Linked DNA regions of Tamandua tetradactyla. The protein of the gene in region 1 interacts with the protein of each later gene in a biochemical or structural test. Links are inferred from orthologs where the notes say so. Each region holds a gene or a part of one and is shown in the gene's direction. Other genes may lie near its edges.

Region 1 (10,405 bases):
TACAGCAACCCTGGACCACTTAACTCCTTTCTCTTTCATGGCTTCCTTTTCTTTTGTATTATTTCCCCCTGGTATTCTTTTCTTTCTTTGCTCTACCAGCCCAGCTACTTCAGACCTTTGTTTAAAAACAATACAGTGTAAGAGTCAGAAAGGATCTTATATCACCTAGCTCAGAGTATCCCAAACCCTGGCAAAATCACTTAAGAAGTTTACAAAAAATAAAGACCCCTAAGCCCCACCTTAGGCCTACAGTCTTAAGCAACTTTTGCTTTTGTCTGCCAGGGCATGCCTTCTTTAGAAAACTTGTCTTTCCCAACTCCATGTAGTTCTACATGGTGCTACCAGTTCTGTAATGGCTCCCTAAAGATGTAAACTGGCCAATCGGAGTCATTCCCTGCAATGTTAGACTTAGCCTATGAAAACAAGTCAATCTCCCCCCTGGTAAGGCGAATTGAAAGGTAGTAGCTTTATTCCCTGAATCTAGGAGAAATCTCTCTATAATATGGGAAAATGAGAATTGGAGAGAGAGTTCTCACAATATTTGCTAATTCCCTGAAGCTATTATCCACCCGCCCTAGTCGCATGTCATGAACTCTCCTGTCACCTGTGTTAATAACTTCCCTCATTTTGTTTAAGCTGGCTTTAGATGAGTTTTTGTTGCAATAAAAAATGTAGGACATAATACATCTACTGAAGCAGGAACTCAAAGAGCATTTATTAAAGATGTCCAGGAATTTCTGATGCATGGTTAGTTCACATGAAACTAGTAAGGAAAAAAGCAGAGATCCAAGTTAATGGATTTGATAATAATAATAATGAGGTAGAATTCAGTTAGCATTTTCTACATGTAGGACCAATGTAAAGTGAGTCCCACACTATTTCACTGGATCCTCAGCACATCCCTTTGCTTTACTGTTTACCATGTTCACTTGTTCACTATGTCTGTTTTACTGACAACTATATATAGCACAGCACCTATAACACAGTAGGAGCTTACTAAATATTTGTTGCATGGTGAATAAATGCTTTTCATTAATACAAATTCAGTAGTAGTAGTAGTATCACTAACACTTATTGAGTGTTACTTTGTGCTAGGTAATGTTCTAAGTGCTTTTAAAATGTCATTTCATTTATTCCTCTTAAAAAGCCTATAAGTTTCTATTGTCCTCCATTGCAGATGAAAAAGCAGACACAGCGAGGGCAAGTATTGGTCCAAAGTAATGCAGCTAGTTATTCAAAGCAAGGCAATCTGGCTCCAGGGTCCCAATTCATAACTTCTATGCTATATTGGTTCAATTAACTTCTCTAGAATGACAAAGCTATTAAATAAGAAGCACCAAATTTGGGCCCTAGGTCTTTCTGACTCCAGAGTCTGCCCTCTTTCACCACTACCCAATACTTCCCCGCTGTGGTTAATTGTCTGGCAGTGCACTGTAGACCACATAAGGAGGCCCCTGGAGTCATACAATGTATTATCTGCATGGCTATCCATGGCAGCCCCCACTGATATGACTAAAACCCAAATTCTAGTCATAAATGTGACTTCCAGAGAGGAGCATTCAGGCTGGATCAGAAACAAGACTCATGGGCCCCAATACTGACACTGAGGTACAGTGTACCTCAAACACTGAGGTACAAACTCTTGTCTTTTGTGTCGGTTTGCATATTGCAAAAGCCAAGATGGAATCAATGTAAGAGATTTATTGGGGGAAATACCTATGAAGTATAAAGAGGAGAGGGAGCAAGAGTAGGTAGGGAGAGCCGCAGACCACGATGAAGTTCCCTGTCGAGGGAGGGAGGTAGGGAAGGAAGAAGGACTGGTTAGGAAGAGGCTCACATTGCAGCAAAATTGAGGAAATCTGGGCCAGGCCAATGGGGAGCCCAAGGCAATGACTGCCCAGTAGAAGAGTCTTGCAATGGTAGAAATGGCCTGGAGCCAATACACTTTGCTCAGTTATTGGCTGACAGTATCCCTGGAAGAGTGTGGCCTTGGCATAAATGCTGTGGCAGACCCTAGAAGAGTAGCCACTAGTGGCTGTCAGCCAACCACACTCCTCACAGCTAGACCTCTAGAAAGGAGAGCTGGGCAGCACCGCCTCATGGCTGCCCCGCCTATGGACCACCAATTAACCCCCACCCTAAGGAAACACCAGGTACAGGAGATAAGCGCTCAGTGTTCATTGTCTACAACTACGTCTCACAAACAACACAGCTGAGTATGTTTTCTTTCAAAACATGTGTTGGCTCGACCTTATTCCAAGTATCAACGCATCTAGGGAAAAATGTTTTCCTGGAGAGTGGTGGGAGTGGGGTGTTTTCTCACTTATTTTTCTACCATGGACATATTTAAATTGCCACAAAGAAGTAACTATGGAAACTGCTCCCCAAACTTGCAAGATAAAAGGTAAAAATGGAACACTTTGTTGATATGCAAATGGTTCATCTTTGGAGACCACTTTGTTTAACAAACTTGCCGTGCCTGGTTCTCCTGGGTGTATTCAGGGTTCTCTTGAACTAATGGTGGACAGGCAGGATGTTTTTGTGTGGTTTACATTCTAGATGGCTCAGGTTGACTGTGAAAACACCACAGACAACAACTCTGGAAAAAATCTATACGCACATGAAGTTGGTGTTGGAACAAGGAAAGTAGATAATTATATTGTACTCTGGGTAACTGGCCAGGGTGACTGTAAATTGCTGTGAACATGCAAAAAGGCCCAGGATGGGGGCGGTGTTTTTGTGCCAGCCCCAGGATGGAGGAGGTGTTTGTTTTTGCGCAAGGCCCATTCTGAGGGTGTACCCTGGACTTGCTGGTTTGAAAGTTAACTTACTGAGCTCTCATTTATGCAAAGTAGTTTCTCTTTCTTATCTCTTCTGGCGACATTCCAGACTTTGATGGAGCTAGTCAGTCTTTTCAACATGAAATCCAAACTTATTTGAAAGCCCCATTCCTCACCTATCTCTGTTAGTCTTTACCTGACCTGCCCCACCCACCTCTCCAACTTGCTTTATACCTACCAGAGCACTCCTATATTGACAAAGCTCTGAGGTAGCTTTGTCCTGATTTCTACTCTGTTCTTTTCTGTCTGGTAATGCCTACAATTTGTTCTCTGGGGATTTAATCTCCTTTCAAAGTTGCCTCCATAATTAAATGGATGCAACCTGAAGAGGTAACTTTGCCTGGGAGACCCAGGAGTCAGAGGTTCTGGGTTCTTGATTTGGTTTTATTACTTTCCAGCTTCATGACTAGGAGCGAGCAATTTCACTTCTTTGTGAATCAGATCCTTCTTTTTCCTTGGCCAAGGACTTTTTTCTTGCAGAGCTTTTTATGGTCAGCTTGTTTTTTAATTTAAAAAATTATCATTCAAGTTGTAGTTTAAATATCATGTTCTCTAAAAAGCCCCAAATATTCCCTAACATTCTACTTTAACATCATTTTTATCATATTATCTTAATTCTATTTTCTTCAGGCCCTTACTATCTGCATTTATGCAGATAGTCTTAAATGTTTACTTGATTATCTGTTTTCTCCAACTACCTTTAAGCTCCAAGAGAGCATGGACCTTGTTTGTTTTGTTCCCAGCTGCACCCTCCACTCCAGGCATATAGGTGGTCAATAAATACTTAAGAATGAAAATGACTCTAAAAGTTTAGGCAGTTAGATCAAGTGGATTAAAGTCACTTGCAGCTTTAACATGAACAATGACAAAGATGAATAAGTGAGAAATGAAATTGATGACAACCACTGAAACAGAATACTGGAAGGAGTATGTGTATACTTAAGCTTTATGAATAGAAAACTGCCAAGTTCTTGGTGGTGCCAAATGTATCTATAGTGTTGTCTTTCTATAGATAGTTCTTACGGAGTGTGAACTGAGTTTCTGAGCTTTATAATAAAGTATTTAACAAACATATAAGGTAGCTTACTGTATCAGTCAGTATTCTACCAAAGAAACAGAACCAATAGGATATTAATACACATACACAAAACACACATATTTCAAAGATTGGATTATACAGTTGTGAAGACGGACAAGCCCAAAGTTTGCAGGGTTGTCTGACATGCTAGAAACTCAGCTCAGGAAGAAATTGAACTGCAGTCCTCAGGTATAAACTTCAGTTTTGCTCTTAAAGCCTTTAACTGATTGGATGAGGCCCACACAAATTATGGAGGATATTCTCCTTTACTTAAAGTCAACTGATTGTAGTTGTTAACCACATCCACGAAATATCTTCACAGCAACATTACTAAACCTACATTAGTGTTTGATTGAATAACTAAACACTATAGATAGCCTAGCCAAGTTGACACTTAAAACTAACCATCACACTATGTAAATATAAAACCCACTGTATCACAGAATTAAAGTGGAGGAGATTTTAGAATATAATCTCTTCAATTTACAAGGGAGAAAACTGAAGCCCAGAGATTTAAGTATATTTGGACATTTGGATGTGTCTGTTAATGATGTGTCTGTTAATGAAGAATAATATACCAATCATACTTCTTTACGATCATTATTAACAATATAATAATACTGTAGATTTGAAAAGCATGTTTGAGTGTGGTTAGAGCTTACACTTGTGTGCACCTCAGAACCATCTGCAAGGCTCATTGCAGCAAAGACTGCTAGGCATCACCCCTAGAATTTTTTATTCTGGAAAGGGACCCCATAATTTGCATTTCTAACAAGTTTCCAGGGGGGTGTTGATGCTGCTGGTCTGGGTCCACACTTTGAGAATGGCTGTCCTACACTATCCAATCCATTATCTCATTTGACCCACACTACAATGCACACCTGTACGGTGCCATGGCAAGGATTATTATTCTCATTTCACAAATAAGGACATTTAGTGATTAGGAGACTAAATAACTTGCCCAACATCCCATGATTCATAAGAGATAGAACTAGGACTGGCATCCAAATTTCCTGCCATCTCAGTGTGCTCTACCCACTCACCTGCTTGGGGAGGTTGTTTCCCATTCTTGGAAGCTAGGTACCTCCTCTGCTCTCACCTGACTAGAGCATTCCTCAACCTGTGGCTCTTCCTTTTCCTTGGTCAAAAGCCTTTAGGGGAGTTGAGAAATCTGCTGTTGCTTGCCTTTCATCGGGGCTGTTGGCCCTCAGCCTGCTCCTCTGTCTCCTGTGACCAGGCAAATTTGTTACCAGGAAATGTGATGTGGAATCTCAGTTGTTTTGTGAACCATTTTGTTTATACTGGTATATCATCCATATACAGTTTTGCAGAGTACTGCTCTCTATGATTTTCACAAGGAGCAGATCATTGCCTTTAAGGGATGCCTTCCAACGTTGGATGGCATTCTGTAAAAGGTGCCACTTATAACACACAATATCTATGAAAAGCTCATCTCTGACACCAGCTCATAGCATGTTGGCTGCCATGAAGAGGAGTTGAAAGCTGAGGCTTCTTGCATTCTGCCACTTGTGTTTGATTCCCACCTCCATCTTTTAACAAACTATATGCCTTTGTGCAAACTTTTTTTTTTTTTTTTTTTTTTAACATGGGCAGGCACCGGGAATCGAACCTAGTTCCTCTGGTATGGCAGGCGAGAACTCTGCCTGCTGAGCCACGGTGGCCCACCCCTTTGTGCAAGCTTTTAAAGTTTCCCCTTCTTTTTATTTTCGAAGAGTGAGATTAAACAAAATAATCTAGGTAGTGGTCCGTGTGTGGCATGAAGTAAATCATGCAGATTAAATGAAATCATCTGCGGTAAAGGGTTTAGAAAAGTGCCAGTCTTCACAAATGAGGACATTGTATAAAGTCCTCTATGTTAGCTATTTCCAGTACTGTTATGGGTGCTCCAAGTTTTTAAGAAAGGAGTTATTTTCTTGTTTTATTTTTCCTTATGACACGTAACACTTTCTAAATATAGCTGCAGCTCACGTTTTCGCCTTTGTTTAGTGCTGTATTCTTGTCTAGAACCTAAGCTCCAGGAAGGCAAGGATTTTCCTCTGCTTTGTTGGCTGCTGCGTCCGTAGTTACGTGCAACAGTGCAAGCTCAGAAAACTCTTTCAGTAAATATTTATTGAATGTATAAATTGAAGATGAATTGTAGGCAAAGCGTGCCTTTTTCTTCATCCCGAGGATTCTAACTGCCTGGTGGAAAGAAACCATCCCATGCTTAGAACACCAGCTCTCCTCCAATTTCAACTAGCTAGAGCCGCGATTTAGCCCTCCGCTCGACGCGCGGAGAGAACTACAAGTCCCGGCGTACCCTGCGCCCAGAGAGAGGCGAGTCGGACACTTCCGCTCCACGCAGCGCCTTTGCCGCCGCGTCCCGACGTGTCACCGGCGGCGCTGCGGCCGTGGCTAGGGAAGGGACCGACTGGGGGAGTTCGAAGCGGCGGGCGGCTGTGACCCCAGCCTGGAATTGTCCCGGCACGGAAGTGCTCCGGGGTCCTTGGGCAGCAGGAGAGCGAAGCGGCTGCCTGGCTCGCGTGGGGCAGGATGTTGAACATGTGGAAGGTGCGGGAGCTGGTGGACAAAGCGTGAGTATCGGGGGGCAGTTGTGGCCGAGGCCCACCCCAGGAGGGGAAGTAGAGGGAGGGGAGCCGGCCCTGGCGCGCGGGGCCACCCGCGTCACGCCCCCCGGCTCAGCCAGCCCCATCATGGCGGCTGCCGGGTCTCTCCCGAGCCTAGTCCCCACTGGCGAGACTGGGTAGAGACCCTCCCTCGTTTCAAAACATCGCCTTAGTCCACTTCTTTCCTGGCTCTTTTTTCCTTCCCCTACCGCCACCCACCTCCGGGTCGCAGACGCTTTGGCCAGGGAAGAGGGTGGGGTTGCCGATAGCTGGGTCACTGTCCTGCCTTCGGGCTCTTTTGCCCCTAGGCTGTGGGCTTTGACTTCAGGGCTCCTGGAAGGCTTGGAAGTGGAGTAGGTGCGCACTGGTTCTCTGTGTTTCTCAGGGTGCGGTACGGAGACTTTTGGCCTGGTTGGGATATGTCCTTTACTCTCCTGGGTTTCTTTTAATTTCTTATGAACCTGGAAATGTTGGAGTGGGTGATAGGTGTAACAAGTGGCCATTGTCGTCAGGCCGAAGTTACTCAAGGGGAGTCTCATCCTTTGCTTTTCTAACAGTAGTGAGAGTAGATCAACATGTAACTTGTGATTCTTTTCCTCTATTTCCTTTTCCACTATGCTTTTTGTGGGCCACTTATTCCATTTGTTTCAATTAAGAAGTCGTTAAGAATTTCCCCTGAAGAAGAAAGCAACGTTTATATCTGTTGCTGTGCTTTTAACTTCACTCACAGGTAAAATGACTAATATGTAAGTGATTTCCTTAAAGACTCAAAGGATAACTCAGTATCTCAGTGCACAGGGAAACCTTAACACTTAAGTTATCATATGCAACAGTGGTTAAGTAAGACCTTCTAGGTTAGCAGGAAATACAGTTTAAGAATTAAACCAATCCTCTTTCTTTCGGGTGTTAGTGATTATGCAATAAGAGTGGTGAGAAAACAGTTCATTTGTGCCAGCCCTCCATCTTAAAATCAGGAAGTATAGATGGCAAACTATTGGCTTTTCTTGACGTCAGAAAACAAAATGATTCACGGTGTCTTGGATAATGCATAGAACTGTTGGACTGTATTTCTAGATTTTGTATGATACCAAGAAGGCAGTATAGTGCCTAAGAAGCACAGGTTTCAGAAACCTGCTGAGCTGGGGTTCAAGCTCTGTAACCTTAACCTTGTCCTCCAGTTGCTGCAAAATGAAAATAATGATAAATGTGTACCTTAGAATGTTGTGAGAAATAAGGTCTCAGACTTAGATTGCATGGAAAGCCCTTAGCACAATATATGTAAATCAGTATACTTCTGATAACTATGACAGAAGCTCTGGCATTGAGAGTTAGATAAACTTCCTTGAGAGAGGCTCTGTGTTTGAATGTTTGGGAAGCAATTTACTTTAATCATTTTTCTTTTCAACTATTCACTTGACCACTAGGACGTCATTTCTTTTGGGCTTATTTTGCTATTTATTTACCCTTTTTCTTCCCAAAAATCAACCATTATTTCAGTGTTTCCTTTCCAGGTCCGAGTACTTTAAAAATATATTGTACGGAAATGAGAACACCCTCTTAAATAGTTTTGTTTTGTTTTTTGAATTTTTAATTTAGTAAAATATGTATGACAAAATCATTTTAACCTTTTTTTTTTTGTATCCTGTATGGCGGGCTCATATTCCTTTTCCATGTGAGTATCCCATTATTGCAGCACCATTTGTTGAAAATTTTTTGTTTGTTTGCTTGTTTTTTGGGAAGTGCATGGATCAGGAATTGAACCCAGGTCTCCTGCATGGCAGGCAAGGATTCCACCACTGAACCCTCACCCCCCCCCCGCCATTTTAACCATTTTTAAGTGGCCAATTCTGTAACACTTAAGTACATTGACAATTTTGTGTAACCTTTACCACTGTTTCTAGAACATTTTCATCGTCCCAGACAGAAACTTGTAACCATTAAGCAATAACTCCCTATTCCCCCTCCCCCCTCCCCGGGTCACCACTATTCTGCTTTCTGTCTCTGAATTTGCTTTTTCTAAAAGTTCAAAAGAAGCCTCTTCATTTCTAAGCCAGTGTACAGCAGAAGAAAACCACTAAGAAATACCTTGTTTCTTAGAGGCCTCCATTTATGGTATGCAAAAATTTGAAGAGACTGTACACTTTACGGGGTCAGAAATATTTCTGCTGTTCATTCTGTATTTGTTTCTATCACCTTATGTTATTAATTTTCAAGTGCTTCATGTTCAGTTTGCCATGTAAGTAGTTATCAAGTAGTTTAGTCAAAAAATAACTTCAGTCTTCCTTTTTGTTAATCAATTTAAAATAAAGACTTGAACGAAATTATTCAAGAATGTGTAAGAATGTTGCCACAAGCAATTTTGAAAACTTTTATGGATGTCTGACACATGATATTGAGATTAAGAACATGAGGTTATTTTACTGATGAATACTTGGAATTTAGTTTTCATCTTTCAGTGGCAGGGAGAAAAGAAATTATTCCTAAAAATATAAGCAGAACCATATATTTTTTTCAGTTAAACTGTACACCTTAAAATGCCATTACAGAGGTGGAACAGATCCATACATAGAATGGGTGCTCTGATTATCAAGGGATAAGAAGAGGAAGAAATTTACAGATCAGGAAAGACTATTCAGAAGGCTTAAATTAATGAAGTAAGGACTTATATGACAGAAAGGACAATAGGAAGTTTGAGAATTAGGTTCAGATTCTACCACTGCCTCTGATTGGCACTATGTATGATATGAGGCAGCAGCTCATGTCTCCAGACCATGATTTCTTTTTTGTAAAATGAAAGGATTGGGCTAGAATAAGACTTTCCAAATTCTAGGACTATTTGGAGAAGTGAATTTCTACCAAGGAAGAGAAATTGGAACTAGTATTTCACAGTTGCGATAAATTTTAGAAAATTATTACCTTCCAGAGACAATTTAGGCTGAAAAGGGACATAAAAAAATAAATAAATTTATTAATGTCGTAATCAACACATTATATTTAATACTTTATGTAATAAGTGCACCCATAACCCAGGAGAACCAGAATTTTTATTATATATCCCTCCCCAGTGAAGTTTACCTCAGAAAGAAAAATGTATTCTTCCAAAATATGTTTCTTGGAGCTCCTGCTAGATACAGTATGGTGGGATTTCTTCAGTATGGTGATATATTTCAAACATGGGCTTTTGAGACCTTTTCCGGAATGTGTGTGTAGAGGGTATTTGTCACAGTTATTGTGCCTCCTGGTGGTATTAAATGGATCTGTTTTGCAGAATCTGGAACTGAAGAAAAGCAGTTGAAGCCTTAGGCCATCCTGAGCTTGGAGTGCCAGTTTCCTTCCCACTCTTAGACAAGTTGCATAAAAAGCATCTGTGGTGAGAAAGGATAAGTGACAGCACTCCCAGCAACTAGGACTGGCTTGACCCCTGTCATTTTATAACCTGACTCCATTTGGGGCTGTGATAAAATGGGATAATTTTTATTTTATCATTTGAAAAGCCGTATAAATTTAAAGTTTCTGGAGTTCTACTAAATCTTACCTTTAAATGTGGGAAATGTAGTGAACGTGACGTGATAATGGTAGACCAAAACTGCTACTAACTGTTCAAGTTCAGTTAACCCTCCTCTTTCATTGCAGAGAGTAAGATTAATGGTTAAACTGTTACATCAGTGGCTCTTATTTTTAAGTGATAGTAATTCAGACAGCTCTGGCCAAGGTCCTAAGGCAGCTGCTATAAATGGTCCACGTTAAGTTTTTCTCTTAAGCATAACTTGCATTTTTCCCCATAAGTTGATTTTTGTAGGTGTTTATTTGCTTGTTTTTTTTAGTTCCTAAATGTTTAGATAATATAATAGAACTCTAGA
Region 2 (10,622 bases), on another chromosome or scaffold:
CTTCCTCTTTGCATCTCCTCATTGGAGCTCCCTTCTACTTTCAGTATAGGAAGCTGCCCATTCATGAATGTCTCAACAAAGCTGGGAGATCCTAAATTGCATGAAAAGTTTTTCTTTCATCAAGCATCTAGAGTTGGCTTTTTGAATTTTAATTTTCACATCACTTCTGGCTTTTGTCGTGACTGAACAATTAATTCTTAATCCCTTTTCTCAAACCAGAATAAACTGTGATTAGAGACGATGTTTGAAAGAATTGTAAAAATGCTTTTTGTGAAAGCATAACATAACGGACATCAGAGGGACTATTTTCTCTCTGACTTGCAGACTTATTTATAGATTTGGGTGACTCAAATGATAATAGGCCACTGGAGGCACCTCTTTGACTCACATCACTGGGTTTCCAGTATGCTTATGCTCCCTCCTCAGTCACCTTTCTCAGCTGAGTTCTGTGTCAGATGGAGAGCAGAAGACTTGCTCGCGAAAAGAACTGACTGCATTTTGGCAGAGAGCTTTCACTTTCTGCTATAAAGGCCATAGGGCTTCAGCAGCTAGAAATGATGTAATTAAGAACCCCATTGCATCCCTAAATCCAGGAAAGAGAATACTTGTGTTCTCTTCATACTTTTTACTTTTCAAAATACTTTCACACATTTGTGTTGGGTCCAGCCTTGGCCATGGACATGATACCAGGACCTGTATGCTTCAGGATGAAGTTCTCATTATCAAATTTCTCCCTGTAGATGGACTTGCCACCAGTGCCATTATGGTTTGTGAATTCACCATCCCTGACACATAGATCCAAAAATAATTCTCTGAAAGCAGTAATCCTTCTAACCAAAACTTTTCTCCCCAGTGCTCAAAGCACAAAAATTCCCTGCTGTCTTTGGAACTTTGTTTGCAAACAGCTCAAAGGAGATGCTGCCTGAGGTTTGCTACCAACAGCTCCGTGGAAGACCAGGGTGGAGTTGCCCAAGGCTGTGGGAGGGCTTTTTCATCTTCACGGCCTATTGTTGTTTTAAAAACAAAAATCCCCTTTGGCATTTGGATCCATAACACTGCATTATCTTATAAGGACTTCTCAAAATGTAAAATTTTGTTTTTTTCCCCACTGTAAAAGCATAGTATGCTTATTGCAGGAAAAAAAGTGAAAACATTTATAATTTCACCACCCATAGATAACCATCTCTACATTTTATTTTGCCCTTCAAATTTTTCTGTTCATAGATGCAATATTTTCAAGCTCATTTTATCATACTTTTTTTTTTGAAGTGAATATTATTTTCAATAAATGGTGCCAGAACAGTTGGATACACTTATTAAAACTAATGCAATCACTACATTGCACTACACACAAACCTAACTAAAAAGGGACTATAGGCCTAAATGTTAAATTTAAAAGTATAGATCCTGTAGAAGAAAACAGAAATCTTATGACCTTGTGATATGCAAAGATTTAACAAGGAAACTTAACAAAGAAAGAGATACTGATGAAAAACAAGTTCACAAAACAGTGTTCAACATCAATAACCACTAGGGAAATGTATATTAAAACCAATAATACAAATCATTACATACCCTACTAGAAGGGATATATTTTTAAAAAATCAATGATAGAAAGCATTGACCAGTGACAGACAATTGGAGGCCCGATTTATTCCTGAAGATACACAATTGTACTGTCAGTTTGGAAAACAATTTGACAACGTCCTATAAAGTTCAATATACGTTCACGTTGTGCTCCAGCAGTCCCACACTTAGGTATTTTATCAAGAAAAATAAAAGCATATGTTCAGACAAAGCCTGCATTTGAATATTTATAACAATTTAAATATTAAGCCAAAACCAGAAAGAGCTCTGTGTTTATCAGCAGATGAAGGTACAAACAAACCTTAGTACATCCATATAATGAAAATATGTTCAGCTATTGATCTATGCAATAATATGGGTAAATCTCAAGAGGGCACATGCTTCCTGATTCTGGAATCAAGTGATGTTTTCTGCAGTTTATGAAAGAAATCGAAAACACAATTTATGCAATTTTTAACTTAGAAACCAACTTTTAATTTCTCAAATTGTAGAAAGATTGTATTATCACTTATTTCATTCTATAGTTTTACTCCACATATAAGGATCTCAATTTGTAAGAAGTTAAAATGAATTTATTGATTAAATAATTATTTAAATTTTATCTGCATTGGGATCAATAACATAACTAGCAAATGATCTCTTTATTATTTATCAATATTTTCTTGAATATAATTTTTAATATTGATAAATGTTGATTATATATAATAATCTATAGTGACAAATTTAGTATCCATTTATTAGTATTTAACATGTGATACAATACCCTTGACTTTATCAACTCATTATAAAGTACGAATTTGATATGTCCTCACTGATTTTGAAGATTTTAAGCGAAAGAGCAATGTTTAGGCAGAAATAATCACTATAGATATGTGTGAGTCCCTAGACTCACAATGAGGGAAGTTTTGAAGAGGCAGTCTCAATGAAAATCCTAAGAATTCCTGGTTTTATATTATATATACACTTCTATCCCTTTCCTACATATCATTCTAAATCAACTAATGTGATCAAAAGGCAAATAAGCACGTAAAAGTACAGCAGTAATTTTTATCAATCCAGTAATAGCATTTGTAGCTAAATGAATATCAAAATGTGTGTGTGTGTATATATCAACTTGATATGAAAGCATTTAGAAAAACTTGAAATTCATCTAATATTTTTCCTGCAGAAAAGTTTGCATTATTTTTTTTCAGTGCTCCCTTGGTCTGTTTGTTTCTAAGACTGTTGAAAATGGGATTTAAAAATGGAGGAATTATGGAATCGAAAACAGAGAAAATCATATCCAGAAACATGTCTGACACTGAAGATGGCATTAAATACACATATAAGGTTGAGCTAAAGAAGACAAATACAACAATGATGTGAGGGACACAGGTGGAAAAGGTCTTTCCTCACTCTCCATTGGTTGGAAACTTGAGCACAGTAGAAAATAGGTGAGTATAAGATATGACAATGAAGATAAAGCAGCCAACACCAAACCTCATGGCAGACACAATTAAGAATTCATTGTTGAAGGTGTCAGGGCAAGAAAGCCTCAGTAGAGAAGGGATGTCACAGAGAAATTGGTGCATAACAATGGACTGACAGAAGGACAACTGGAAAGTGTTACCACTGTGCACATCTGCATAGACCAGACCACAGAGAAAAGCAGTCACAGGGTAATCCTGGGCCATGATGGTGAATAATAATATTTCCACGCAGGCACAGTAAAGGACTAGGAAGATCTGAGTTGTACCCCCAGCCACTAAAATGACCCTGTTGTCAGTGAGAGAGTTGACACAGGCACTGGGGACAATTACAGAAATGAAGCACATATCTAAGATGGACAGACTCCTGAGGAAAAAGTACATGGGTGTTTGAAGATTCTGGTCGAGTGTGGTGGCACTAATGATGAGAAGACTCCTTACCAAGGAAGCCAAGTACATATTAGTAGGAATAACAATGGAATGTTGAAACCTTAGCTTCCACCCTACAGCAAAACCCATGAGGAGAAAGAAACTCAGTCATCATGGTGGAACTGGCCATTTTCCAGATTTATTGATTGACCTACTAACAATGTATCCCATACCACTAAGCCCTTGCTGGTCACAGCTGCTTCCAATAAGGATGCACCTGAAGGTACCATCTGGAGAGGAGGAAAGAGCCAAAATTCCAGCAGGAATCCTTTGTGTCCCATCTTCTCCAGGTTCATCATCTGGTCTACTCTGTTAGCCCCTCTAGGATCTTTGAACTCCCACCATGTTGCATTTGAGATCAAATCTGTTTGTTGAGCTGAATTCTTTTCAATTCTTTCCACTTCATGCCCGGGCCACCCCCATCTCCAGTTCACACAGTAGTGCAACCCCTATCATACTGTTTTGAAATATTGTTTTTAAAAATCTGGCATATCATGATAATAAAGATACTATAGCTTTATTTTCATTGGCAACCTAGTAGTCTATTGATGGATTTTATTGTACATAGTATTCCATTGTATGGATTTTAGTGTACTGTAATTTATTTATTTTGGATTAGGGATTATGTTGGAGAAGCTGAGGAGTAAGCATTTCCAGGCTTTAATCATTGCCCAGGGAAACTAAAAATCACAGGCTAACGATTACCACACTTTATACCGGGTCAATTGTTTTAAATTTTTAGTTGCATGGGAGAGGTGTTTGGTAATTATAAATAAAAATAAATATAAGTAAAAACTACATGTAGGTTTTACATTTTATAATTTTCTCTTTAGTATTCTGCCAATAAGCAGAAAAAGATACTTTTCTCCTTTAAGAAGGTGTTCTTAACTTTTCTTTTGTGGTTAGCAAACACTTACTACAAAATATTAGTAAACATTTAAATTCCCAACTCTAAGTAAACATTTGTGACTTTCCACAAACTGAAAGCTAACTCTTTAGCTACCTCTGCTTTGCAACCTGCAAAATTGTTACTTTTATGGAAACTCCAAAGTGTACCTTGGTACCTGTTTGGGCCACAGTTATCCCTCAGAAGAATCAAGAGATACGTCATCATTACAGTGTTGTAGTTTCACACTACTATGTACTAGTTTATGCAATCCAAGGCTGCTGTGTAGAGTAGTGCAAGGGAGAGGATAGGATGGGGCTAAATTCCATAAGCATTCCAATCCCCAAACCATTTGCTATGGTCTCAGTTCACCCAGTGTGTGTGTGTTTGCATGTGTGTGTGTTTGGGGATGTTGGGGTATTACCAGTTCCTAATTTGCACAATGGCACCAGAGGATAGCAGAACTCCAGTGGCAGAGGGCAGAAAGGAGAAGGTTGAGGCCGGAAGTTCCTTCCGCAATTCCAAGTTTCCCTGAACCTCAGTCTCTTTATTTGTAAAACTGAGTTATTCAAGTTTGCCCAGTCTAACTCAGGAGGTTGTTGGGAGGATTAGATGATATATACAGAGGTGCTTTGTAAAGGGTGATAGCCATACTTAATAATAATAAAAATTACTAGTATTATGCTCTTAGCTTCCTTTCTGTCCGGTCACTTAGCATGCTCCAGTAGCTTGAGGACAGAGCTGCACAGTGGGACTACCCAGCTCATTTTTTTTTTTTTTAGTTTTGAAATTCTTACATGGAAATAACTGCCTAAGGCAAAAAAAGAGAAAGGTCTTAGCTGTATCATTCAGGTTTTAAACTTAAGATTTGTGTTTAAATCTGTTCATTTAGGCATCTAGTTTGGTGCTGTGCTTTATTTCCTTTTAGCGGTATTTTATCACTAATTTTCCTGAAGGTTTTAGTCTGGGTAGTTAATCTTTCCTTTAAATGGACCAAGATATCATCGTGCTCTTAACGTTCACATGGAAAATAATCTTGTAAAGGGTTAGTAATTATTTATCAGGCTAGGAACTGGCTGGTCAAACTTTCTTTGGCTCAACTCAATCGTTTATGAAGTCACAAACAGAAAGTCCACACTGGAAGTTTACGGTAGTTCAAGCCCTCTCTTTTTTTATATGTGAGGAATCGGAGGTTCCGAGTTTAAATAAATTGTCCAGCGCAGGAGGTACTGCTTGGAACCCATTCTTCTGAGTCATCCTCCCTTTCATGCAATATGTTACAAAGATACTATAAACCGCAGAATTCAGGATCAGTTGGAGCATGTTTCTGAAGTTGAACTAAGAGAAGGCTAAGGTCTCACAGGTACTCGGAAAGAGGATTCTGCGGTTTAAGCGGATCAGCGTACTCTGCCCCCAGCTGCCTGGCCTCTCCCACTTCCTCCTCTACCTTGCTAGTCCCGCCCCTTCAGGTGACCCCCGCCTCTTCCTGATAGCCCAGGTCTCTCACCCGCCTTGCGGAACCAAAGTCCATCGGCGCCGGGGTTTGTCGGATCTTTCTCACTCAGACTCACCGCAGAGGTGACTCGGCAGCAACGTCTCGCGTCATCAGTGACAGCCCTGAACCTTGCTACGCTTTGCGTCGCTTGGCCAGGGGCAGTCGCCTCCTCCGTGGCAAATAGTCCTCGGCGGGGTCCGGGCTCTTGAATAATAGGAGAGGGGAAGCGCGAGAAGTTGCAGTGGGGACGCAGAATCGACAAAGAGAGAGGACGGGGACGCGGAGTTTCTGCCACAGTGCGTAAAGTTAGTTAAAAACTCCCTCCCTCGTTAGGATCCCTCCGCCTGCAGTAGCGGTGGTGAGGCCGAGGGAGCCGCCATTTTGGATGTTCGGTTCCTGCTGCTACTGCTGCCGCCGCCCCCGAAGCTGCTGGTTTCATTCGAGGTTTCGGGCCGGTGAGTGTCACTTGCGGCGCCGAGAGTATACTGCTGCTTTTGCCCAGCGGCTGCCGCAAGTGCTCGGCCGGAGACATCCTGTCAACACTAGAGGTCCGGTCTCAGGCAGTAGGGGTGAGAAGACAGGACAGAAGCTGAACCAGGAGGGGCCCGGCGCCCCAGGGGTTGCTCCGACTTCTTGAGGGCCGCCCCTGAGGTCTTGGACCTGGAGGCTCAGCGCGCGGCGGCTTTCCGTGCTGTGGCGTTGCTGGGCGGGTGCGGGCCTCCTTGAACCCATTGACTTTCTCAGGCTGCGATCTTCCTTTGAGGGCTCATTCAGGGAGCCTAGGGTTAGCGGGGCGGGCCCACCTCCGCGTGTCTTCTCTGAGCCACGTATCGACGTACTTGTATCTTGTACCCCGATCTTGTCTCTCACAGAAACTCGTTAGCATTTCCAAATGCTCAGTCAAACGCTGTCTGCCTCTGCAATGCCGTTCTCACAGAACCGGACATCTACCTCTCCTCCCTCTAACCTTCCAGCCAACTTCTTTCCCAATTGCCCGTTTTTGTTTTTTTTTTTTTTTTTGGTTGTTGTTTTCTTAACTCACCTGCGAATATACCGGTTACCCTTCTCTCAAACACTTTATCCTACTGACGTCAGTTTCTGATAATTTTCCCGATCTCACCGCCTTGACTGCCTGAAAGAGTTAGGAGGGTTGATTACATTTCCCTATTAGGGTTTGGTGTGTAGGAGATCCGTCAAACCACCCGCCCAGTATGTATTTCAATAGTAAATGTTTATAAAGCAGATTAAATGCTTTTTTGGGGGTGGGTGCGAGAAGGCTGTCAAATGTTGTCTCATTTTGTGAATTACCTTGCAGTGCTTAGCACTTAGGTTTTGGGTTTTTAATGACACTTGTATATTTTTCTTGGTGTTATATGTCCATGGCATGGAAATCTTATGAAGAATATTAATCTGATTTAGGTAGAAAGCAGAGTTATTTTATTTCATTTCATTTTTGTATGATAAAGGGATATTTAACAGAAGAGAGCAAAGATTTTTTTAGTGTTGTAAACTTTCAGGTGTTTTGTATGGTAATGACCTTTGCTGGCTGCCTGAAGTGGTTCAGTGATTTCTTCCCCTCCCCTTTACATAAGAGAATTTAGTCAGTTTAAAAATACTGTGTCGACTTCGTGTATTGGGTTTTCTGGGGGTAGTTGGATTTAAAATATTCACTTCTCCATAATACTTGTCAGACTATATGCATCTTGACTTTTGGTTTGAAAAAATATGGACCTCTAGGTATCATAATCTCATTCCTTTTATACCACTCCTAAAGTATGCTTGTATATAGCATGTTTGGATAAAAAACATTTCACAGTAATTCACCGATTAGGTGAGTGTGAGTGCATCACGGGCAATTCACATCTGAGCCTGGGTTTTTAGATTTGCAAAAGAGAAATAATTTATTCGAGAGCACAGCAGTCTAGTGACTACTGAAATCTAAATTTCTTACTTGAACTGAGTCAAAAATTTTTAATACTTCTCATCCATATATAAATGCATTTTTCTTACCAAGTGATTGAAATGAGACTGAAAATAAATTCCTGTACAAGTCATCTGATGCTTCGGTACAGTACAAGGCATTGTTTTTAGGGTAAATGCTCAATGTTTTTGTCAACTTTTTTTTTTTTAACATGGGCAGGCACCAAGAATCAAACCCGGGTCTCTGGCATGGCAGGCGAGAACTCTGCCTGCTGAGCCACCGTGACCCATCCTTGTCAACTTGTTTTAAGGAGAATTTAAAAAATTATAATAGTTACATTAGATATTAGTGAGTTTTGTGAGTCTGTATTTACTTGGAAGCTATGCCTTTTTTTTTTTTTCTGTTTTAAAGGAGCTGACAGCACTTAACACTTAGGAAATGCTCATTCATTCACAAAGTATCTCCTTGTAGATACCACTGAAATGTTCTATTTCTGAGTTACACTTTTAAAACAAAGTATTGGAAGAGCTATCAGATAGATGTTATTTCATTCATTTCATTTCATGGTATAATCTGATATTTAAATGTCATTCATTTTTAGGTTTGCATTCAGTTCGAAAAAGTGTCCTTTTGCTTTCCAAATTATAAGCAAAGTGCTGTTTAGTGCCTCACTGATCAGAATATGCTTGAATGTCTACTTTTGTCAGGTTGCTGGGATTGTATTTGAAACTAACATTAGTGTTTAGGAGACCTCAGTTCATTTTTCTTTTGAAAGTGGTTGCCTGTTCTTTGGTATTTCACTGACAAGTAGTTCTAGGTTTGGGAGTGAACTTTGAGTAAAGCGGTCAAGTACAGAAATTTGCCAGCAATGGTTTGGTGATTTTCTTTCTTTTTTTTTTTTTTTCACATGAGCAGGGTCTGGGAATCAAACCTGGGTCTCTGGCATGGCAGGTGAGAATTCTGCCTCTGATCCATCCTTGATGGTTTGGTGTTATTTCATCCCAGTATTTACTTTACTTTAAAAAGAAGTCTTAACTCATTGGTGTGCCAAAAAAAGTTTCTTGTGTTTTATAAACTCTTTAACTTGCACAGAATTAAAAAGTCGAACCAGTGTTTTCCAAAACAACTAAGCTTATTTTTAATTTAAAAAGTTGAATTGGGAAACCACATACCAAAACAGATTTTTGCAATGCTTAATCCCCTTATTTACATTTTATGAGGATTTAAAAATTTCTGTGTACAGCAGAATTTAATTGATATCAAAGCTCTAAGACTTAGTTGCATTTAGCTTCCAAAAATCTAAAATGATTATCTTTCATCAAACTGCAACAGCTTGTTTGGCTGTTTTAGTTGTTTATAATTTAACCTTTCTTTGCTTTATGAATTGAGTTCATGATTTTTTTTTTTCATTTCTTAGTTGCTTTTACTCGGTTTCTTTAATGAAGACTGGTATTTAAAGGAGAAAGCAATTTTAAAACTGAGAGCATATAGATTTGTATAACCTCTTATATTTCTTGGCTTACAGGTTTTAAGAATCATATCTTTGTCAAAATGCTTGTATTAAGATTTTTCCAGCTGCCTTTTTTGGGGGGGCGTAGGAAATTTTATTTCAGTGAAGGCAGGAAAGAAAAAGGGGAAAAGAGGTGTAATTTCTACTTTGAAATTACATGTAAGGTGTTTTTCTTCCCTGAAGGAGTTACACGAAATACTTAATTGGCATGAGTTTGGTTATTGGAAGAACAATCTCCTGTCAAATTTGAAGGGTCAAGAAGTAGAAAAAAAAAATTGCCAAGCTTGTTGAGTTGGGTGTAGTTCAGAGCTTAGCATAAAAGGTCAAGATGTAGGATAATATGATTGAAATAAATGCTTTTTTTTCACCAAGTACTTGGAAGTTTTGCTTTTTTTTTTTTTTTAGCATACTCAGAACTTTAGAGAGGTAAAATTAATAAGCTATATATGTTGTTACACCAAAAAACTAATATCTACATAGATTCAATGAACTCTACACAGTATGCCTAAATATTTTGTTAGTTTTCCCAACCAGCCATCTCAAACTAGTATATTTTCTTCTAAGTTTATTTCATTTATGATATGAATGAAAATGAAATAAACTTAGAAGGAGAAAAGTCTTTGTTTTTTTAAAGTTGGGAAAAATATGTGACCTTTGTACTTTGAAGAAAGGCATTTTAAAGGCAAGTAGTTTTTTACTCCTCCTTCTTCATTGTTACAGCAGTCTTATTGTAACCTGATAGGCAGTTTCTTTACTAACTTCAGCTTGTTATATCTGGTTGTATTTGTATTGTACTGAGCAACTCAGGCTTTTCAACTTCTTAGGCTTTGAGGTTAATTTTATGGATTTTTCAGAATAGTAAATATGAGAAAGACATTGAATTTAGACTTTGGTACGTGATTAACTTTTTTCACCCCCATTCTCACAAGCCTTTGAATTAAAATTAAGACCAGTCATAGAGTATTTGGTAAAAGAACTAAACTTTCTAAATGATTTGGCAGTTGTACAACTCAAAATAAAAGGAGCTCCTTTTATGTTTCTGCAGCTCAATTTTGTGAGCTATTTACTGAACCTCACGATTGGGAAATTGTTCAGTTTCAAGTTGAGAAAAAGGAAGGAAAGTTAATTCTTTTTATAATTTAAAAATTTATGTAAATTTTTTTAAATATATATTTTTTAAGTCTGCACAAAGATTTGGTTCACTTTCCACTTTTTAAAATTTTGAAAGCATTATACTTTTAAAAGTATTGTGAAAATAGTTGGTTGAGATGGCTGGTTGGGAAAACGAACAAAATATTTAGGCATACAGTGTAGAGTTGAATCTTTGT
Region 3 (11,338 bases), on another chromosome or scaffold:
TTGGCTCTCCCTGTGTGGGAAGACTACAGATGATTTTCATTTAATTGATTTTCCTTTCCTTCCCTTGCCACCCACCATGGTCTATAATGAACATGAATGATTTTTATAATAAAAAAATTTGCATGGAAAAACTAAGCAGTTTAAACTTATTTCATTTGGAGATTGAGGATGCTGACCAAACTGTGTCAAGCTTCTTGTAGTAGGTCGAGTTTAGAATGAATAACCACCACCCAAAGATATCCGCGGACCTGTAAATGTTACCTTATAAGGAAAAAAGGTCTTTGCAGACGTGAAGTTAAAGATCTTGAGATAGGGAGAGTTTCCTGCATTACCTCGGTGGCCCTAAATGCCGTCACGAGTATTCATATAAAAGAAGATTTGATACACAGAAGTGGAGGAGGCAAAGTGACCACAGAGGCAGAGATTGGAGTGATATGGCCACAACAAAAGGCATACCAATAACCACCAGAAGCTAAAAGAGGCAAGGAATGGATTCTTCCCTAGAGCTTTCAGAGGGATTACAGCCCTGCCAACTCCTTGATTTCAACCCAGAGAAACTGCTGTTGAGCTTCTGACCTCCAGAGCTGTGGGGGAATAGATTTCTGTTGTTTTAGACCACCAACTTGGTGGTGAATAAGTACAGGACAGCCTGACTTAAAATGTGTATAAAATGAAGTTGGTTGCAATTTGTTACAGCAGCCACAGGAAACTAACATAATAAAATAAGTTAATGCTGCTCACAGTGAATAAGTACAGGACAGCCTGACTTAAAATGTGTATAAAATGAAGTTGGTGGCAATTTGTTACAGCAGCCACAGGAAACTAACGTACATCTCTCCCTCTAAACCAAGCCAACAAACAATGCTGTGTCTCTACTTTGATTTGTTTATGATGAAATGACATTCTTAAATAGTGTCTTAGTTTCCTGACTGGTATGACAAATACCACACGTGGGTTGGCTTAAACAATAGGCATTTATTATCTCATGGCTTGGGAGGCTAGAAGGCTATCTGGCATGCTGGCAATTCTTGGGGTTCCTTGGCTTACCCATTACATGATGAGCCCTCTCTTTTCTCTTCCAAGTTCCACTGACTTCCAGTTTCTGGTCTTCCAGGTGGTTTTCACTTCATAAATCCTCCAGTAATAGGACTAGGGCCCAACCTCATTCAGTTGGGCCACAACTTCACTAAAAACAACATCTTCCAAAGGTCTTATTTACAATGTGTTCATACCAATGGGACTAAATTTAGATTAAGATATGTTCCCCCCCACCCTGGGATACATATTTAACCTACTACAAATACGTTTCTGGACATTCCAAGTTTTTTGTTCACTTCGACTTCTCTTCCTGCAAAAGTTCTGCTTTGCTGGCATTACTCTTTGTACATGTTTAACACTCAAAAGAGTTTTCAGGATAGGAGGCAGAATGGATACGCTGATATATCACAGAAACATAATAAACTCCAAAGGTCTGCTGTCAGCTCCAATATTAATCCCTCTTCATTCGCTCCACTCCTGACTTCAGTCTCACTTTTAGTTCTACCATCTACCTTAATTTTCAGCCCCACTTTCACACTGTAATCCCTCTGATATTTTATTTACTTTCAGAAGGATAAAAATGACCATCATTACTTTCCAGAAATCTACAATGTCCATATGGGTTTCTAAGGCCAGATAAGTCCTGAAATCCAGAGGTACCTGCCTCTCTAGAATATCAACTAGTTCCCCCTCCCAATCCCATATTATTGACAGCCCTTTTCTTTTGCTCTTCCTTCTTTTTAATCATCAAAATATGATCTTGTATAATATTGATTTTAAAACGCATTAGACTCTCACATATATATTTTTCATCACATAATTGTATATTCATCACCATAATCATTTTCAGAACATTTACATCACTCCAGAAAAAGAAATAAAAAGAAAAAAGAAAAAACTCATACATACCATACTCCTTTCCCCTCCCTTTCATTGAGCACTAGTATTTCCCTCTACTCAATTTACTTTAACATTTGTTCCTCCTGTTATTTACTTTTAATCCATATATTTTTTACCAGTTTGTACATACTGTAGATAAAAGGAGCATCAGAACAAGGTTTTCACAAACATACAGTCACTTTGCAAAAGCTATATCATTATACAATCATCTTAAAGAAACATGGCTACTGGAACACAGCTCTACAGTTTCAGGCACTTCCCTCCGGTCTCCCTATTACACCTTAAACTAAAAAGGGGTTATCTATATAATGCGTAAGAATAGCCTCCAGGATAATCTCTCGACTCTATTTAAAATCTCTCAGCCACTGACACTTTATTTTGTCTCATTTCTCTCTTCCCCCTTTCAGTTGAGAAGTTTTTCTCGATCCCTTGATGCTGAGTCCCAGCTCATTCTAGGATTTTTTGACAGCCCTTTTCAACACACAAAAGTTAGAAAAAGTATAGCCCAAATATCCCTTAAGATTGGGAATAAGATCAAAGAAGAAGATGGAGTTATAACAGAGAAGATAGGATTTAACAATTGAGTAAGATTACCAAATCATTATATTGGTATTTCTTTTAGTGTTCAGTGTCTTGGAGCAGCTAGAAGGAAAAAACCTTAAATTGTGGAACTGTAACCCATACCAAACTTTGAAATCTGTTCTATATCTAATTGTCATGGTGTGCTATTATTCACAATAAAAACATGACCATCACTTACTGGGCATCTGCTAACTAGGTGCAAGGGACCATGCTGGCAACTAATAGAGACTGAGTTTACATAGCATTCTGGTGTCAGCATGGCTAAATGATTATGCCCATTTGTCTACCCAGGCAAGCACTGGCCTGACCGTTGTTTCAAGGATATTTCATGGATGGTTGATAAACTGGAAGACTGGTGTATCAAGTCATCAGTGAGTTGACTGCATTTGTGGCTGATTACATCTGCAATCACCTAAGGTGTGTCTCCCACAAGAAGATAATTCAATCAGCTGAATGCTTTTCAGTAAGAAGAGAGACTTTTTCACGGCTTCTTCAGCCAGCGAGCCTCTCCTGTGGTTTCGTCCAGACCCTTCGTCAGAGCCGCCAGCCTTACAGCCTGCCTTATGGATTTTGGACTCTTCCATTTTCATGGTTGCATGAGAGAGACATCTTTATAAATCTCATATTTACGGATCTCTCCTGTTGGTTCTGTTTCTCTTGAGAACCCTCACTAATACACATGGCTAGTAAATGTAGGATCTGGGATTGAAAGCTAGGCCTGTGTAACTCAAATGCTCCTACTCCTTCTTCTTCAAGTTTGGGATTCTGAATTGCTTGAGAGCTTTCAAAATTAGAAATGTACGCACCAAACAAAAGTGAGGGGTAAGGGGTATGGTATGTATAATCTTTTTTTTTCTGTTATCGTTTTATTTCTTTTTCTGTTGTCTTTTTATTTCTTTTTCTGAATTGATGCAAATGTTCTAAGAAATGATGAATATGCAACTATGTGATGATATTGAGAATTACTGAATATATATGTAGAATGGAATTATATGTTAATGTTTTTGTTTGTTCTTAAATTTTTTAAATAAATAAATTTAAAAAAAAAGAAAAGAAATGTAAGCACCTCTCCTTTTTCTCCCCAGTCAACAGGAAAAACAGTCATTTGGACAGGAGTGCTAGAAACTGGGTGGTTGTTGCCTCCTTATTCTTCATCAGTGTGCTGTGGGGATCAATTCAGTGGAAGGCAAGATGTGGAACTTGAGAAAAGGGATCTTCATTCTTCATATGCTTTAGTTAAGTCACCTGGACGTAAGTCATTACGCTCTAGGCCAGGAAGGACCTCATGTCTTGGCTCTAATACTTCTAAAGCAAATGTTCTTGATGCAAAACAATTTGAAATTGGTATCATGGACACTGTTTATTTCTGAGGCCTTGCAAAAGTTATCTTGGGAAAAAAACAAGTTATCTTGGCGTGCCGTTGGTGATTGGTTGAGAACCAGAATCACCAGTTAATTTAAAATGTATTCATTCATTAAGCATTTCAGTTTTTTAATAGAGGCAGTTACAGCACAATCCTCATGTGCACCAGATATGAACTGCCAAACACCAGCCAAAGGGGAAAAATTGGTATCTTGACTCTCAGGTGACTCCATTTCATCCTTGATTTTCATAAAGATGATTTGAACAGTACAGATAGCAGTGACCAAGAGCAACAACCCTGCCTCACCATGCCAGTTTTTGACTTTGGTAAGTTACTTAACCTTCATTCCTTCTTCCATTCAATCAGCTACTTTTTGAGTACTTATGGTGTTCAAATCCTAGCACATTTTCTAGCTGAGACTTCGGTTAAACTAATTTAAGCCTCAGATTCCTTCAGTGTAAATGGAAAAAACAGTTATGCCTCCTGCAAAGACTTCTTGTGATAATGAAGGAAGATTATGCACACAAAGAGCTTAGCATGGCGCCTGGCATAGAATGTCAGCCTGTCTTTCATTACTCAGTGATTACATATTTACTATGTTCCAGACATAGTGCTTATGCTCTGGGGCTGCAAATCAAAATAACTGACTGCCTTCTTTGGGCCAAAGATGAACTTTCATTATCTTATATCCTCACAACAACTTACAAAGCATGCATTATTTTCATCATTCTATGAATGAAGAAATTGAGTTTAGGGAGGTAAAGCTCAAAATTACACACTGAGTAGTAGCAGAGATCGGATTTGAACCATGATCTACCTGATTACAAAGCTCGTTCTGCCACACAGCCTTACTGCTAGCCAGAATAACATGTACTGTTCATAACTTAGAGAGGGAAAACATGCAGCAAACGACACATCACGGTACAACATATACAAAGCAACATCACTGAACCCTCTGTATACTAAGCCTTATTCTCAATCAAGTCTTATAACAGCTCTATGAGGTAGATGTTAATACTATCCCCTTTATAAGGAACGGAAAACTAAGGAACAGAGAGAGAAGTCCTTGCCTATAGTCCATGCGAATAATTACCACTAAACTCTATTACCACTCTGAAGAGCTAGCAATTTATAAACAGTGGCTCTGGGTGTTCTGAGGAGTGACAATAACGTGCTTGTGAAATCAGAAAAGATTTCATAAATGAGATGTTATGTAAGCTGGAACCTGAAGTAAGAATGTTTGAGGTTGAGGAAGGAAGACAGGGGAAAAGGATGAAGCAGGTAGAGAAAACAGCATGTGCAAAGGCACATTTTCTTTAATGTCTAAACTCGCCTATCTTTTAAGTACAAAGGAGGTCCTTAGAGGATCTGGTACAGAAGACACTTCATTTTGTCTCCTTTCTTTTTATTTCCTCATGTCCTATCCACCCCTATCCTCAGGTTCCCTTTCCTATCTTCCATCTCTCCATTTCCAATACTACAGTCCTAATTTAGAACTATCACCTATCACCTAGACCACTGCAATAGCTTCACCTCCTTTCACTCTCTTTCTCCCTCCAATTCATTAAAAAACAGTTACAGGTTGAGTTTTCTAAAGTACAGCTCTAATCACCTAACTCCTTGGACTCAGAAATCTTTAATTCACCCACTTTCTTCAGAGTGGTCTGAACTACATAGCCAGCCAGCTACCTTTCTTAACAAAGCCTTGGCCTGTCTTTCCAATCTCCTGCCATTTCCTTCCTTTAACATTGCCATGGTCCTCAAACTTTGGTGTGAATCAGAATCACCAGTGGGTTGCTTATTAAAAATATTCATGCCCAGGCCCCGTTAAAATATTTGGTTTAGTAAATTCGAGTTGGTCATTAGGCATTTTTGGTTTTGTTTGCTCGCTTGGGAGAGCTATGAGACATCTGTAGTGTTAACAGGCTCTTTCTGGTGTTCCTACCTCAACAAATTTTAAGAAGCATTGCACCAACTGTATCAACTTTATCTAAAAACTGATAAGCCTCCCGCATTCTTTCTTATCTAATTTGGGAGTCTATTTCTTCACTCAGAAGCTCATTTTCAACCTCAGCCCTACCTTCCATACCTAGATCAAATGCCACTTGTCCTAGGAAGTCCTCCCTCCTCTCCTTCGCCCGTTGATATTCATCTGCACCTTTCTTAAGGTATCAATCTCAACCTTTCGCTTATTTAGGAAGGGCCCACACTCCGGACCATCCAAGGAGTTCCCCAGAGCAGAAAGGGCCATCTTAATCCGTGCCCCCACCCCAATTCCTAGTTCTCAGCGGGATCCTGCTCAAGAGCAATCTATACCGTGGGATGACTGTGCATCAATAGTTCTTCCCGCAAACGCTTGGAACATCCTAATACAACGAACCCGCCTCAGATGCCCTTCCCAAGATACCGGCAAAACCTCTCAGACTAACAGCTCAAGATCGGAGGGACTGGAATTGTTGGGGGAGTTGGTGGGTGGGAAAATTGCTCGGGGCAAAAAAAGCCACCCATCTGGCAGTCAAGACAGATCCCCCGACGCCAGGAAATGACGCAAAAAGCGCCCACTCCACCCCGGGCTTTTGCCTCGGCCTCGGATTAGCTGCTCCTCCCGGCCCCGCTTCAAGGACCTAAGTCACGTGACCCGCTGTTCGCCGCGCGATTGGTTGTCCGATGAGGGCCGCTCTGGATTGTGGGTTCGGGCCGGCTAGTAACGTCCAGCTGAGTGGAAGCGTGGGAGGCGTGCGTCCGCGGGTACGAAATGCTGGTGAGTTCGGCTACTGTTAGCCTCCGGAGGTCCTGGCAGGCCGCCTGAGAGAATCTGGGGCTTAGAAATTGAGATAGCGCGCGGCAGACTCCCGCGTGGGTCTTTGGTTCGAGTCCTGGCTCCAGCCTTATCGCGTTTCCCCTAAAGGATGGCTTCTTAGTCTTTACTTGAAGTTGGCGGGATTTGGACATGATTTATATTATTATTTATTTCTTTGAGGGCGCTGGGCAGAACGCCATAAGCTGGATGCTGGGGAAAGGGCCTGGAGAAGCTTGAAATATGGTCCCTACTAACGTGAAATGTTTGAGGTAACTCGGCCTTATAAATTGTGCTGATGCTTTTATAATCCGTGAGTTTAGGGTTTAGTAGGGAGGATCGCTCAAGGTTTATTGAGTTTTCTCCTATGTGCCAGGCACCGTCCTGGGCACAGTGGTTGTAAGGACCAGTTAAACACGGTCCTGTTTTTTTTAGGGAACTTTGATGGGGCTGGGGGGAAAGGCGGGAAGACACGTGGATAGTTGGTTTATGCTGGGAAAAAAAGTGCTGTGGTAGTCAGAAAAGGGTAACTGAGGGAATTAGGGATTATTTCATAGCAAGGTGATATTTGAATAAATTTTTAAAACTATAATATGTTTCCAGATTAAAATGAGTGGGGAGGGCATTCCAGTTGGGAAGAAAGTGTGCAAAGGCAAAAAACTAGGAAAGTATACCCGATTTGTGTGGTTGGAGCATGTGGTGGATTTGCCCAGAAGCTGAAAGGTAGGGGTATATTTTTAAGGACCTTAATTCCCTGTTAGTATGTCTGGATCTTAAAATACTCTACGAAGTGAAATAGGTATCACGACATAGGTACAGCAAAGTGCTTTCATAATTCAAAGGAAGGACAGATGTTTCCTGCTGGACTGATGGTGAAAGGCTTCATGCATTTTAGAGTTATAAAGGGTGAATTAGTATCCGAGTACAGGAAAGGTTTCTATGGAGGGGAAGGGCTTTCTAGAAGAAGAGAGCAAGTTTGAGGATTTAAGAATAGTCAATGTGGTTTGGTCGGCACATGTTCGAGTTATGGTATTTAGTTAACTATAAATTTGTGTCAATTTTGAAACATCTTGAACACTGGGCAGAGTATTTTGGATTATATATTTCTTGCATCATGGGGAGCCATTAAATGCTACCGAGTAATGACATAATCACACCTAGGTATTTTTTTTAAAACTTTTTATTGAGAAATCTTCACATACGTACAGTCCATCCACAATATACAGTCATTGGCTTATAGTATCATCATGCAGTTGTGTATTCATCACCATGATCATTTTTAGAACATTTACATCACTCCAGAAAAAGAAATAAAAACAAAAAACACAAACATCGCATATCCCTGACCTCTCCCTCTCATTGACCACTAGTATTTCAGTCTACCCAATTTTTTTTGCCCTTTTTCCTCCCTATTTATCCATTTGGTTTTCCTTATTTTTTTTTTTTCACATGTGCAGGCACTGGGAATCAAACCCGGGTCCTCCTGCATGGCAAGCAAGCATTCTTGCCTGCTAAGCCACTGTGGCCCCCCCAGTTTTCCTTATTTTTTTATTTTATTTTTATTTTTTTATCAAATGGCAATTATTTATTTATCAATTCCAACAAGTCCATCCTGAGTTTCTATTATCTATTTTTTTATTAATTAAAAAATTAACTAACACAACATTTAGAAATCATTCCATTCTACATATACAATCAGTAATTCCCAATATCATCACATAGATGCATATTCATCATTTCTTAGTACATTTGCATCGATTTAGAAAAAGAAATAAAAAGACAACAGAAAAAGAAATAAAATGATAATAGAGAGAAAGAAATAAAAATAAATAAACAAACAAACAAAAATCTATACCTCAGATGCAGCTTCATTCAGTGTTTTAACATAATTACATTACAATTAGGTAGTATTGTGCTGTCCATTTCTGGGTTTTTGTATCCAGTCCTGTTGCACAGTCTGTATCCCTTCAGCTCTAATTACCCATTATCTTACCCTATTTCTATCTCCTGATGGTCTGTTACCAATGACATATTCCAAGTTTATTCTCTAATGTCGGTTCACATCAGTGGGACCATACAGTATTTGTCCTTTAGTTTTTGGCTAGACTCACTCAGCATAATGTTCTCTAGGTCCATCCATGTTATTACATGCTTCATAAGTTTATTCTGTCTTAAAGCTGCATAATATTCCATCATATGTATATACCACAGTTTGTTTAGCCACTCGTCTGTTGATGGACATTTTGGCTGTTTCCGTCTCTTTGCAATTGTAAATAATGCTGCTATAAACATTGGTGTGCAAATGTCCGTTTGTGTCTTTGCCCTTAAGTCCTTTGAGTAGATACCTAGCAATGGTATTGCTGGGTCGTATAGCAATTCTATATTCAGTTTTTTGAGGAACCGCCAAACTGCCTTCCACAGTGGTTGCACCATTTGACATTCCCACCAACAGTGGATAAGTGTGCCTCTTTCTCCACATCCTCTCCAGCACTTGTCATTTTCTGTTTTGTTGATAATGGCCATTCTGGGTTTTCCTTATTTTTTAATTCATCTGCCCATATCCTGGATAAAAGGAATATCAGACACAAGGTTTTCACAAACACATGATCACACTGTAAAAGCTATATAGTTATACAGTCTTCAAGAATCGGGGTACTGGTACAGAGTTCAACAGTTTCAGGCACTTCCCTCTAGCCACTCCAATACACCATAAACTAAAAAGGGATATCTATATAATGCATAAGAATAACCTCCATGATAACCTCTCAACGTTATTTGAAATCTCTCAGCCATTGAAACTTTAGTTTCTCTCATTTCTGTCTTCCCCCGTTTGGTCAAGAAGGCTTTCTCATTCCCGTGTTGAGTCCTGGCTCATCCCTGGGTTGAGCCAGGGATGTGTCCCACATTGCAAGGGAGATTTACACTCTTGGGAATCATGTCCCTCACTCCGGGAAGTGAGTTCACCTGCAGATTTGTCTTAGATAGAGAGGCCACATCTGAGCAACAAATGAGGTTCTCTGGGGGTGACTCTTAGGTATAATTATAAGTAGGCTTAGCTTCCTTTGCAGGAATAAGTTTCATAGGGTCACACCTTGGTGTTTTAAGCTAAGTATGTATGTAGTAATATTCGTGGTACATTTGATGGGATAAAGAAACTGGAAGCAGGAAACCCACTGAGACAGCAGTATGTTCTGGTAAAAAGAACATGAACTTTAAAGTCATACATTCATTGATTCAGATCTTAGCTCTGCTCATCCATTTCATGATCTTAGGCAATATTATTTTAATTAAGCTCTCTGAGCCTCTGTTTCCTCATTTCTAACTCGTATCTATTTCACGAGATAAAAGTCAAGCATAGCACCTGTATAATAGGTACTTTGTAAGTTAGTTTTCTTCCCCTCCTGGAGCTTGGTTATTGAGTGGAATAGCTCTCTCTTTAGCTATGGAGTGTAAGTGAAGGAAGTCTATGGTGTTTCTTATTGTTTGACACTGACAAGACCATGCTGAAAAGGTCTGAAGAAGGGCAATTTGTGATTCTGGTACTTTTCCATGTCAGTGATAATATACCACCAGGAGGTGCCATTTAGAATGCAGAAATGCCTTGTTTTATTGTGTTTTGCATTATTGCGCTTCTGAGATACCGTGTTTTGTACAAATGTAAGTTTGTGGCAGCCAATCTATTGGTGCCATTTTTCCAACAGCATTTGCTCTCTTCATGTCTCTGGTCATGTTATGGTAATTCTCACAATATTTTAAACTTTTTTATTATTATTTTTATCTTTTATGGTGATGTGTGATCTTTGCTGTTACTATTATAATTGTTTTGGGGTGCCTCGAACTATGCCCATATAAGATGTTGAACTTAATTGATAATTGTATGTGTTCTGACTGCTTCACTGACTGGCTGTTGTCCTGTGTCTCCCTCTCTTCAGGCCTCTCTATTCCCTGAGACCTAAGAATACTGAAATTAGGCCAATTTTACCATGGCCTTTAAGTGTCCAATTAAAAGGAAGAGTCGCACATCACTCACTTTAAATCAAAACCTAGAAGTGATTAAGCTTAGTGAGGAAGGCATGTCGAAAGCTGAGATAGGTTGAAAGCTAGGCCTCTTGTGCCAAACAGTTAGCCAAATTGTAAATGCAAAGGAAAAGTTCTTGAAGAAAATTAAAAATGCTACTCCAGTGAACAAGTGAATGATAGGAAAGTGAAACAGCCTTATTGCTGATATGGAGAAAGTTTTAGTGGTCTGGATAAAAGATCAAAGCAGCTACAACATTCCCTTAAGCCAAAGACTTATCCCGAGCGAGGCCCTAACTCTCTTCAATTCTGTGAAGGCTGAGAGAGGTGAGGAAGCGTCAGAAGAAGAAGTTGAAGCTAGCAGAGTTTAGTTCATGAGATTTAAGGAAAGAAGCTGTCTGTGTAACATGAAAGTGCAAGGTGAAGCTGTAAGTCCTGATGGAGAAGCTACAGCAAGTTAATCCAGAAGATCTAGCTAAGGTACGGCATACTTTATTGTTGTCTTGTTTTAAGAAATTGCCATAGCCACATCAACCTTCAGCAACCATAACCCTGATCATTCAGGAGCCATCAACATTGAGACAGGCCCCTCCACCAGCAAAAAGATTATGACTCCACGAAAACTCAGATGATGATTAGCA

What was found.
Region 2: the proteins of CLINT1 (region 1) and AP1G1 form a complex in vitro, tested with the Homo sapiens proteins (2 studies listed by BioGRID). The link is inferred for Tamandua tetradactyla from reciprocal best matches to the Homo sapiens genes CLINT1 and AP1G1.
Region 3: the proteins of CLINT1 (region 1) and AP2B1 form a complex in vitro, tested with the Homo sapiens proteins (2 studies listed by BioGRID and IntAct, with this or other methods). The link is inferred for Tamandua tetradactyla from reciprocal best matches to the Homo sapiens genes CLINT1 and AP2B1.

What each region holds. Positions count from the first base shown.
Region 1 is NC_135346.1:38,936,116-38,946,520, reverse strand, and holds the start of CLINT1 (clathrin interactor 1), read left to right. Parts: upstream 1-6,274; 5' UTR 6,275-6,471; coding exon 6,472-6,512; intron 6,513-6,589; exon of another isoform or gene 6,590-6,898; intron 6,899-7,201; exon of another isoform or gene 7,202-7,275; intron 7,276-10,405. UniProt on the Homo sapiens protein: Binds to membranes enriched in phosphatidylinositol 4,5-bisphosphate (PtdIns(4,5)P2). May have a role in transport via clathrin-coated vesicles from the trans-Golgi network to endosomes. Stimulates clathrin assembly.
Region 2 is NC_135342.1:66,899,987-66,910,608, forward strand, and holds the start of AP1G1 (AP-1 complex subunit gamma-1), read left to right. Parts: upstream 1-5,922; 5' UTR 5,923-6,159; intron 6,160-6,165; exon of another isoform or gene 6,166-6,318; intron 6,319-6,332; exon of another isoform or gene 6,333-6,432; intron 6,433-10,622. UniProt on the Homo sapiens protein: Subunit of clathrin-associated adaptor protein complex 1 that plays a role in protein sorting in the late-Golgi/trans-Golgi network (TGN) and/or endosomes.
Region 3 is NC_135332.1:46,154,041-46,165,378, reverse strand, and holds the start of AP2B1 (AP-2 complex subunit beta), read left to right. Parts: upstream 1-6,548; 5' UTR 6,549-6,644; intron 6,645-11,338. UniProt on the Homo sapiens protein: Component of the adaptor protein complex 2 (AP-2). Adaptor protein complexes function in protein transport via transport vesicles in different membrane traffic pathways.